Macaca fascicularis: one gene and its partners. The protein of the gene in region 3 interacts with the protein of the main gene of each other region in a biochemical or structural test. Links are inferred from orthologs where the notes say so. Each region holds a gene or a part of one and is shown on either strand. Other genes may lie near its edges.

Region 1 (3,652 bases), on a different chromosome or scaffold from region 3:
TTTGGCGAGGTGCAGTGGCTGATGCCTGTAATCCCAGCATCTTGGGAGGCGTAGTTGCGCTGGTCATGAGGTCAGGAGATGGAGACCATCCTGGCTAACACCGGGAAAAGCCGTCTCTACTAAGAATACAAAAAATTAGCAGGCCGTGGTGGCGGGCGCCGGTAATCCAAGCCGTTGAGGCAGGAGAATTGTTTGAACCCGGGAGGCGTAGGTTACAGTGAGCCGTGATTGCACTCCAGCATGGGCAACAGGGCAAGACTCCGTCTAAAAATATATATATATATGGAATTTGTATATTTTGGGGCATGTGTGTATTAAAATGAGACTAATTTTAAAGCAGTATATATGAAAATGGAGGTATTGTTGACTGAGTGCTTTAGCACGACTGGGAAGTTAAAAAACTGAATTGGCTTTCTGACATGGGGTTTTTAGAACAAGGAGAAGATGAATTCTTGTTTGGAAGGTCATGGGTGGCAGGGTAGGTAGCTGGGCTTATGTGTTACAAATTGTATTTGAAAACTAGGGTTGTTTCCCTTTGCTCTTTTATTTTTTTGATATATGTAAAGGTTATTTAAGCAACTTATGAATTATTCAGAAAGCAGTTGTTAACCCCGGATGTTTTACATGCAGTACAGCTAATCCTTACTTATAAGGGAAATCTGAAGTTGCCTTTGAGGATGATTTGAGGGTGTCACACTGCACTATATTGTTTTGTGGATTGGCGTATATTTTAATATATTTGTAATAATTCGGAATGAACTGAACCATTCTTGGAAAGGTAACCATTGATAGTTTTCTCTTGTAATAGTAACTGAGTGAACAGTCAGTGCCTTGAATGGGGAGAGTTGAGTTAAAGTGGGATCTGAGGGTGGAGAGTACCAAAGACAGACTTAATGTTATGTCTCAGGAACACTTTAGTGGTACAGAACAGAGTGCAAATACATAGAAGATGAAGTCTTAGCCTTGTAAAAATTTATGAGCCTTTTTAATATTAAAAGGAGAGATGAAGCTCAGCATGGTAGCTCACACCTGTAATTCCAGCACTTTGGGAGGTCAAGGCAGATCACTTGACCCCAAGAGTTCGTCCCTATGAAAAACAGAAAAATTGGCCGGGCGCGGTGGCTCAAGCCTGTAATCCCAGCACTTTGGGAGGCTGAGATGGGCGGATCACAAGGTCAGGAGATCGAGACCATCCTGGCTAACCCGTTGAAACCCCGTCTCTACTAAAAAATACAAAAAACTAGCCGGGCGAGGTGGCGGTCGCCTGTAGTCCCAGCTACTCAGGAGGCTGAGGCAGGAGAATGGCGTGAACCTGAAAGGCGGAGCTTGCAGTGAGCTGAGATCCGGCTACTGCACTCCAGTTTGGGCGACAGAGCGAGACTCCATCTCAAAAAAAAAAAAAAAAAGAAAAAGAAAAACAGAAAAATTAGCCAGCGTTGGTGGTGCCTGCTACTTGGATGGGAGGATCACCCAAGCTTTGGAGGTCTAGGCTGTATTGAGCCATTATTGCATCACTGCACTCCAGCTTGTATGACAGTGAGACCCTCTCTTAAATAAAATAAAAAAAAATAGGAAAGATGAGTTGTTTTGTTTCATATTTTCTAATTTTTATGTCTGTGATTTTCTAAACTTTGTATTAGCTGGGCATGGTGGTGCCCGCTTGTAGTCATAGTTACTCTTGAGGCTGAGGCAGGAGAATCCCTTGAACCGGGCAGTGGAGGTTTCCGTGAGCCTAGATGGCACCATTGCACTCCAGCCTGGGCGACAAAGCGAAACTATGTCTCAAAAATAAAAAAATTAACTTTGTAGTTTGTTTTACCTGGATACAAAGTTGTCACTAAAATTTTTGCTTTTGTTTTTCAGATATTAACCTGGCTGCAGAGCCAAAAGTGAACCGAGGAAAAGCAGGTGTGAAACGATCTGCAGCGGAGATGTACGGGTCAGTAACAGAACACCCTTCTCCGTCCCCTCTACTCAGGTCCGGAAACTTTATTATTTATAACTGCATTGTGTCCATCAGTGGGCATCTTCTCTATCTGTTTTCTGGATGTGGGGAGGGTTAAGTGTACTGTGTTTTATCTGTGTATAAATAAGGTTTCATTATTTTTGTGTTAATATGTCTCTCTTTTGCCCTAGCGAAAATTACTAGAGAATTAAAAATCCCTGAGGTTTTTGCTATTGATGTTTAGGAGTAGTTTGATATTTATAGCATAGCCTGAAATACTTCTACAGGATCGTTGAGCTTCTAAGACACCAGAGAGTAAGAGAGGGAAGAAGTGTGGTATAAGAATGTTTAGTTTACCATTCTGTTTTTCAGTGTTCAGTTTAACTATGTCGTATGTGGAAATCTTAGTGAATTTTAACCTGAATTACCAATTTGACCACTACATTTCCAGTGGTCTAAGGTGATTGGAATTGAGTGATTTATTGTATGAATGATTGGGGATCATTCAGTGCTAATCTTGTTGATCTATCTGTTGTGGTTTATTTGGCATGGTTCTCCCCTCACCTGATGTTGTGAATTAGTAGCAGCGTTTCCAAATTAACCCTTTTCGGTATTTATTTTTCAGCTCCTCTTTTGACTTGGACTATGACTTTCAACGGGACTATTATGATAGGTATGTTAAAAGTGTTTTGCCTTTCTGCTAAACAGCTATTAATGAGAACCATTTTGTTTTTCTAGTTTGTGGTGATGAACATCAAAGATGTTTCCAAACATACTCCCTTTCCTCCAAAAGAAAAAAATAACCTTAAGTAGATTATTAGGTAGGGTGATAATGATTTTAATGCATTATTTCATAATGCCTGTTTCTACTAAAAATACAAAAGAATTCGCTGAGTGTGGTGACTAGGGACTGGGTTATGGGTGGCTTTGGGTAATAGATTTAGAACTGATGATAGCAAATACTAAACAAGAAATAGAATGATGTGCTTAAGAGTGTTACCACATTGACAATCTGATATCAGTCTCAGTTAACATGAAGTAAATGTTAGACTTATTTGGCTTGTCGTGTTTAAACTCATGCAGTATATGTAAGTATATGGAGCAAACTATTATATGCAATACACTTTAAAAATGCAATATATAAAGCGCATTACTTTATATGAAGCATAGTACTACTATTTGTCTTAGAATACCAGTATTCTAATCATTAGTATTTTAATGTTATTGCTGTATATAACAATTCTGTCTCTGATTTTGGAGTAAAAATTACTGATTGACAAATGCTTAACGTTTGAACTGAGTTAATCAGTCATCCATGGGAGTTGTGTAGAGGAATCAAGTCAGCTGTTAAATACCATAGAGTATACACTGAAAATGTCAGACATGAAAGTATACACTTTCTGTTTGAGAAATAACGTCATAGAATATGGCAGGTAGTCATTAAAAGGCCAGAAGAGTAAGGCCTGAAAAAGAATTTAAATCCAGATTGTAAAGGGCCTTGAATGCCCTATTAAGATGGTGCGGTTGAGCATACTTAATGCATCATCAAAATGTTTTTTTTTTTTATTTGACATTAGCGGTTTCCTCAGATTGTTGTTGTTGTTTTTTTTTTTTAAGATGGACTCTTGCTCTTGTCACCCAGGCTGGAGTGAAGTGGCGTGATTTTGGCTTACTGCAACGTCCGCCTCCTCGGTTCAAGCTATTCGC
Region 2 (3,752 bases), on a different chromosome or scaffold from region 3:
AAGGGTGGCACAACACAAAACTACAAAATCAACGTATCCTCAACTGATTTTTTAAAAACCAAATAATCTGGGGAAGAAAATGTACCTTTGTAGATCAAAAGTCTTCCACACATTCAACTTGAGGTCAAACAAACCAACCCACGCAGAATCTTCAAAGAACTTCAGGCTGACCTAAAGCGTATTTTTTGCTACAGCCAAATTAGAATACTTGCCCTATTTAGTTGTGAATATCGCAGTATAAATGACTTTACAAAAAAATCTGGTAATCTTACAGACAGAATTTTACAACAGTGAAATTTGTACCATAATATAAAATCCTACCAAATGAATAGAATCTATCATTTAAACGGCATCAGGGATTTCTGCCTGTTAAAAAGTGGAGGACTGAGCAAGGAGCAGTGGCTCATGCCTGTAGTCCCAGAAGCTCAAGAGGCTGAGGCGGGAGGATCACTGGAGCCCAGGAGTTCGAGGCTGCAGTGAGCTGTGACTACACCACTGCACTTCAGCCTGGGCAATACAGAGTAAGACTCCATCGCACGCATGCATGCATACATACAAGTGGAGGATTACCTGCTGTAATTCAGCCACTTAGAGAAAAAGACTTAAAACAAAATTCAACACAGAAAAACCATCACTGCCTACCCAGCACTCATGTCAGAGTGTTCCATGAGGTCCCCCAAAATGCACCTACCGTCCCGGCGAGGATGTCATGTGGGCAGCAGTCCAGAAGGTGACTCTTGCAGACACGGTCATCTGTAAACTTGACCCTCTGTCTGGTTTCGTCTCCTGAAATTCATTTGTGGTTTTAAATAAGACAATATTATCACGTTAACCACAAGAAAACACTAGTGTAATGATTCACCTGGATCATTTGCAGTCTATCATTTCTGTGTTCTCCCCATCAAATACAATGAAAAGCTGATCTAAAGATATTTACACTGGAGTGGAATACACATTTTTTTGAGGCCAGTTATATCATGAAGAATCACACTTAATGAGATCTGACTCCATCAGTGTACCAAAGTAGTCAAGGAGTCAGATGTAAGCAGCTGAGCACCAAAAGGCCATTGGCTCCACATATACATGTGGCAATGAGATTCCAAAACCCAAGCTAATCAGAGGTCCATGAACCACCAAGGGCGACTTATAGAGCTGGTAATTTCCACCAACAAAAGCTACTTATTAATCTTTTAGTTATGAACAAATGCAGAGGCAGTATTTTGCCCAAAATTGAATGAAGAAGAAAGCTTTCAAACGCTATTGAAGACTGTTAAATAATCTAGATCTATTCTTCCTATGCCCCTTTCGTCCCCACCCTTAAAAAAGAGAGTTGCTACCTGGGAGTCACTTTTAACAAGACAATACCAAAAAAAGCAAAAAGGAACTAGGTTAGTCAATACACACTGTGAGCTCCAACACATACTGTACCCATCTGCATTCTTCAAGACCTCAGCTGCAGAATTTTATGCCCGCTGTTGAAAAGTGTTAAAGGAAAAGTTTTCTTGCCCACACCTGCAGTAAGGAAGTCGGGGGAATGATACATAAAAGTAAAGGCAAAGTGGTATGTGACAAATTCTAAAGCTAGTCTGTGTATACAACACAGAGCTGTGCAACGCTAGAGGAGGAATATATTTTAGGATTTGCAAGCATCCAGGATTAATGTAGTGTCTTTTTATTGAAAATGTTTTCTTTCTAAACTACACTTTTAAAGTTACTTGTGAAAAAAAGCAAACACTTTTTTGTTATAACAGCTTAGAAATTGGTTGTGACTCACGGCTCGATGAACATGAGGCTTTCTGCAACTCCCTTGCAGATTGATGTAGGCAGGCAAAGATACACTGAACCTTTATAAATAAAATAGAGGGGCCACAATTGTTCAGTTTGTATGAAATAAAAATATGGGAAGCAATTCAAAAGCAACTCAATATACAAAGAAAGCTAAAAAGCACTTATTCACCTATGAAATAAAGTGCAAATAATCTGCACAGCCCTGAGAATGTGCCAGTGTGAACTTACAACTTCATTACTTCAGCAGAAAAGAAAACACAAACCACAGCAGGTATATAGTTTTGCGAAGATGCAACCGCTTTCTCCTGTGACAACCATCATGATCTTGAGCTCCTCCCTACACAGTACAACCTACCTAACCACTGCCAAGCGCTGGCTACACAGAGGCTCTCCTGTGTGCTGGGGGAAGGAGGGAGCTGGAAAAGTACTCGGCAGAAACCCACGTTAGAAAGGCTCAGTTTACGGCTCCCCTTGCAATGGTACAGAACCAGAACGGGTCAGGGTTTCGAGGCCCATCCGGCTCCCTCGGGTGTAGCTTCTTCCCAAGGAGCCTCGGAGGAGTTCTGCCACCCGGCTGCCAGCGACCTGGAGCCCACGCTGATTCCAGCCCCTCGCCGACTCCACAGTTCGCGGAGGGGCACGGAGCCGCGGCGCCCGTCGGGGAGGAAGTAGCGGGACGGTAAACGGGAAGGAGGCTGAAGCCCCATCCGTGGCGCAGACTCCGAAAGAGGAGCCGGACCTGGACCCACGGCCGCCTCAGAGACCAACCGGCTTAGACAAAGGCCCGGCGCCTGCGGTCGGCGCGCGGCGGAGGAGGAGGGGTGCCCCGCGCAAGCGCAGGCGCAGACGATCGCGGCCCCCGCCTCAGGCCGCCCGGCGGCCTCGCCTCACTCCCACCCCAGACCCTCGCCTGGTTGGCCGCTGTGACTCACCGTCCCGAGCCGTGCCCATGAGCTGGTCCAGCAGGGCCCGCATCTGCGCCTGGGCGGACATGGTAGCCGGCGGAGGCGGTGGGGACGGCCGCGACGGCTTCTCTCAGGAAAGCAGCGGCAGCGGCGTCGACAAATGATGGTCGCGTCGGCCTCGAGCCCACTCGGCTCTTTCCCGCCGCGGGGGACGCCGGGAGGAAGTACGAAGGCGCCGGCGCACAGCCTGCTGGGAAATGTAGTTTCTAGGGTGGGTGCTTGGGGGAGACTGAGGTTCTGAGTGGTCTACGGAAGTTGTCCAAGGAAGGAACCAAAATCCCAACGCTGATTTTACTCTAGACCCCCAGGACCTCAAATGAGTCTCTACGGAGGGTAAACTACAATAATGTCAAATACAGTCTATCAAAAACAAGATAAATCCGTGCTTTTTCTAAGCTAGCCATGAAACCGTGAGCATATTAACTCCCCGACGCTCATTTTTTTTAAATCTGTGAAATGAGGATTCTAAAGGTGTCCCTCATATGATTTTTGTGAAAGTTAAATAAAGCATGGAATTTTACTTATTTTCATTTATTTATTTATTTTTGAGCGAGGGTCTTGCTTTGTTGCCCAGGCTGGAGTGCAGTGGCGCGATTACCGCTCACTGCAACCTCGACCTCCCAGGCTCCTTATCCTCCCTCCTCAGCCCGGCAAAGTATTGGGATTATAGGTGTGAACCACCATGTTTGGCCATCAGTTATGGCATTAATATTAGGTTCTATGATTAAAACCTCGTGGTCGTCCTTCTGTGAGCTCATGGTCTACCGTCCCAGGGGCTAAAAACAGGTATGTCTCAGCAATTACTTTATGTGATAATAGAATTATAGCATGCACTTATGTGTGCATAGTCTGGCATAGACTTCTATTAAAACTTTTCTTATTTTTTATTATATTTTATTTATTTATTTATTTATTTTTGAGATGAAGTTTCGCTCTTGTTACCCAGGCTGGAGTGCAATGGCCTGATCTCGGCTCTGCCTCCCGCGTTCAAGCAATATC
Region 3 (3,652 bases):
TTTCAAAATAAAAAAAAATACAAAGATGCTCTAATAATTCCTTCCTGCACCTTCCTGGATGGTGCTGGCTATGCAGGGATGTACACTCTCCACTGTGGAGACCACTGCTGTAGATGATGGGGACCTGTGGAAACTGTGAGCAGGGGAATACACTGATCGGGTAAGCATACTGCAAAGACACTCTAGCAGCACCATGGAAGGGCATGCTGAAAGGCAGGTGGGGAGAAAAGCTGGAGAGAACACAAAGCCAAGAGACCAGTAAGGAGCCTCCGTAACAGCAGAGGCAAGCAATGACAGTGCCCACTGTAGGGCCAAGGCAAGCAGGACCCCTACTTATGAGGTATGACTAGCAAAACGAGATGATTTACTGGATGTGAGAGAAAAAAGGGGGACATACTGATGATCAAGTTTCTCACTGACGCAACAAGAAATGGTGGTAACAAGCGCAGGAAATACAGCATGTGTAGCAGGTTGGCAGGGTGAGTTGTATTCTGGTTTTTAACATGTAAGGTTTGAAGTTTCCTGTGACAGAGATGGAGCTGTCATGTAAACAACAGGGTAAGTTTTATGACTTGCCTGGGCCTCGATGGTGACCACGTGGTAACAAGCAGCAATTGTGCTCCTTTACATGGATTGTGATGACCAAGGCAACTTACATTCAATGGGAAATTTTTCAATATATTATTGTATGTTATTTATCTACCTTTGCCATTGACCTGTTGTATTTAACTCAGTGCTACTAACAACCCTAGAGGTAGCCATTTCTTTCCTTTGATAGAGGAATAAGCCAAGGCTCAGACAGGATAAGAAACCAAAGTTCCACAGTTATTAAGTTCTGAGCTGGGGATTAATCTGATGATACGTGGGTGCCTCTCGGTGTCTGCGGGGAACTGGTTCCAGGACATCCTGAGGACACCGAAATCCACAGATGCTCAAGTCGCTGATATAAAATGGTATAGTGCTTGCATGCAACCTACATACATCTTCCTATATACTTTAGTTGATCTCTAGTTATTTATAATACCTGCTACAATGTAAATGGTATGTAAATAGTTGTTATACTGTATTGTTTAGGGAATAATGACAAGGGGGAAAAGTCTGTACATGTTCAATAAAGACACAGGTTTTTTTTTTTCCCCTCCAACTGTTTTCCATCTGAGGCTGGCTGAGCACATGGATGTGAAATCCACAGATGTAAAACCCATGGATACGGAGGGTTGGCTGTAACTGAAGCCACTGCAGCCTAAGCTAATACTTGCAAACTAAGTACAAATAAAAAAGGTACTTTGGTCTGGTCATGGTGGCTCACACCTGTAATCCCAGCACTTTGGGAGGCTGGGGAGGGCGGATCACCTGAGGTCAGGCATTGGAGACCAGCCTAGCCAACATGGTGAAGCTCCGTCTCTACTAAAAATATAAAAATTAGCCAGGCATGGTGACAGGCGCCTGTAATCCCAGCTATTCGGGAGACTGAGGCAGGAGAATTGCTTGAGTCCAGGAGGCAAAGGTTGCAGTGAGCTGAGATTGCACCACTGCACTCCAGCCTGGGCAACTAGACTGAGACTGTCTCAAAATAAATAAATAAATAAATAAATAAATAAATAAATAAAATAGAAATAATTAAAAAGATACTTTGTAAATTACTTTCTATATGAAACTTCGGCCGGGCGCGGTGGCTCACGAGGTCAGGAGTTTGAGATCAGCCTGACCAACATGGTGAAAACCCGTCTCTGCTGAAAATACAATAATTAGCCAGGCGTGGTGGCACATGCTTGTAATCCCAGCTACTCAGGAGGCTGGGGCGGCAGAATCGCTTGAATCCGGGAGGCAGAGGTTGCAGTGAGCTGAGATCACGCCACTGCACTCAAACCTGGGCAACAGAGCAAGACTCAATCTCAAAAAGAAAAAAGAAACCTCAAGAGAAAAATTGAACTGCAACAGCAACAATAAATCTGGATAAGGTACATCTCGCTACTGCCCTTTCCCAGACATGAACCTACATTCTATGTAAGCACCTTCAAACACTCCCTATACAGGGGAACAGGAGCTGACCACGTCCAGCCAAGTAAAGAAAGCAAATCCTTAGGAGGATTCATCATAGCCAGCGTGTAACAAAGCCAGCTCACTTAGCGTGCAATTCCAGACTCTGGAACCAAAGGGGCTGTATAATGTCTTGGGTGGTTTGCACGGCTGGCTCATCAATTACTCACTGTGTGTTAAACAGTCTTGTCAGCAGAGGGAGCAGAGGAGGTTTCAGAGCTTTTCCACCATGAGTCAGAATGGAAACCAACTGTGTTACCCAGTTTCACTTACTAGAGTCACTCAGCATTGACTCCCAAAATAAAGGTTTGAATAAGTCAAGCCTTCTTAGGTAGACAAGAACACAAGAGCCAACCTATAATCTGTCATCACATCTAAATCCATGCCAATTCCTTGAAAATTACAATCCTGGGCCCGTTATCAATAGTAGGGTCCTATAATCAGGAACAAATATCAAAAGACAATATGACACTTCTTTCTCAATAGAGTCAAAGAGGAGGTATACTTTTCTTGAATAGAAACAAAACAAAACAAAAAAAACTATAATAATATCAGATAGAAGAAGATACAAATGATAAACTAAACTACACATTCTAGAAAGATGTAGTTTTACATCTTTTTACAAAAACCTTTTTACAAAAACCTTCCAGTTTTTGCAAATGATGCTGCTGACTATAAATATATTAAAAATGAGAACTGATCAGAAATAAGATTTGGTATGCAGAGAGCAAGAGATAGTCTAGTGGCATAGAACATGTATTTAAATCACATTACTTCTTCATGAGTATAAAAGTAATAAAAATGATTAGCACACACAAACAGGGCTTGGCCACTTCCAGCCAGTTCCTTCATAGCATTTGTTAACGGCACGTCCCTGGAGTCAGTAATGGCAGACAGTTGATGGGAAGAACACTTACCTTTTGGCAAATCCCCAGTACTGGAGGCTGAAACCGTCCTGCTTCTGTCATGGGATGGACTGCTCTCCTCTTGCTCAGTAAGTGGTGATCCCTCAGAAAGCACAGAGCCGCAGGCCACAGGTTCTAAGGATCCAGAGAACAACGAGGTGGAAAACTCTGGGAACTGTGACTCGGGAATTTTATGTCGTCCATTTGGCAATTCACCATTGAATTGTTCATAGGAGCTGCTATATGTGTAATCACTTTCTGCATTTGGCTCATCAAGATTATATTCCTCAGGATTTGGGCAGTCTTCTTCGTCATCCTCTTCATCGTCCAGTTGCTGCTCCAGTGAGAATGGGCCATTCTCAATATGGCCATTGGTTTTAGGTGATTCTATCCACGTAGGGTCTATGTTCGCAAGTTCCTGATCTACATCATCTTCATCTTTTTCAATGTTTTCTTTCTCAGCATCTTCTTTCTCTTCCTGGTCCTCAGCTTCACCTTAAGAAGTTGATGGGTCAAGAATAAGAACTTGTTACTGTCCTTAATACGGCCTCACTAAGTACTTATCTCCATCAATAAAACACGTTTTGAATGTGTTTAACTTATGTACCACCTAGTAAACACCTCTTTGCTTTTGGGGTAAAAGCTTCAGGTTTTCTAAATCTCATTTTTCATTCATTTAATAATTGGCCTGCTCTTATAAGAAAAAG

Evidence for each region.
Region 1: of the proteins of SRPK2 (region 3) and HNRNPC, one has a biochemical effect on the other in vitro, tested with the Homo sapiens proteins (2 studies listed by BioGRID and IntAct). The link is inferred for Macaca fascicularis from reciprocal best matches to the Homo sapiens genes SRPK2 and HNRNPC.
Region 2: of the proteins of SRPK2 (region 3) and LUC7L, one has a biochemical effect on the other in vitro, tested with the Homo sapiens proteins (2 studies listed by BioGRID and IntAct). The link is inferred for Macaca fascicularis from reciprocal best matches to the Homo sapiens genes SRPK2 and LUC7L.

What each region holds. Positions count from the first base shown.
Region 1 is NC_088381.1:88,893,783-88,897,434, reverse strand, and holds part of HNRNPC (heterogeneous nuclear ribonucleoproteins C1/C2), read left to right. Parts: intron 1-1,863; coding exon 1,864-1,978; intron 1,979-2,570; coding exon 2,571-2,618; intron 2,619-3,652. UniProt on the Homo sapiens protein: Binds pre-mRNA and nucleates the assembly of 40S hnRNP particles. Interacts with poly-U tracts in the 3'-UTR or 5'-UTR of mRNA and modulates the stability and the level of translation of bound mRNA molecules. Single HNRNPC tetramers bind 230-240 nucleotides.
Region 2 is NC_088394.1:970,046-973,797, forward strand, and holds the start of LUC7L (putative RNA-binding protein Luc7-like 1), read right to left. Parts: upstream 2,893-3,752; 5' UTR 2,782-2,892; coding exon 2,721-2,781; intron 1,845-2,720; exon of another isoform or gene 1,775-1,844; intron 787-1,774; coding exon 692-786; intron 1-691. UniProt on the Homo sapiens protein: May bind to RNA via its Arg/Ser-rich domain.
Region 3 is NC_088377.1:146,652,026-146,655,677, forward strand, and holds part of SRPK2 (SRSF protein kinase 2), read right to left. Parts: intron 3,441-3,652; coding exon 2,958-3,440; intron 1-2,957. UniProt on the Homo sapiens protein: Serine/arginine-rich protein-specific kinase which specifically phosphorylates its substrates at serine residues located in regions rich in arginine/serine dipeptides, known as RS domains and is involved in the phosphorylation of SR splicing factors and the regulation of splicing.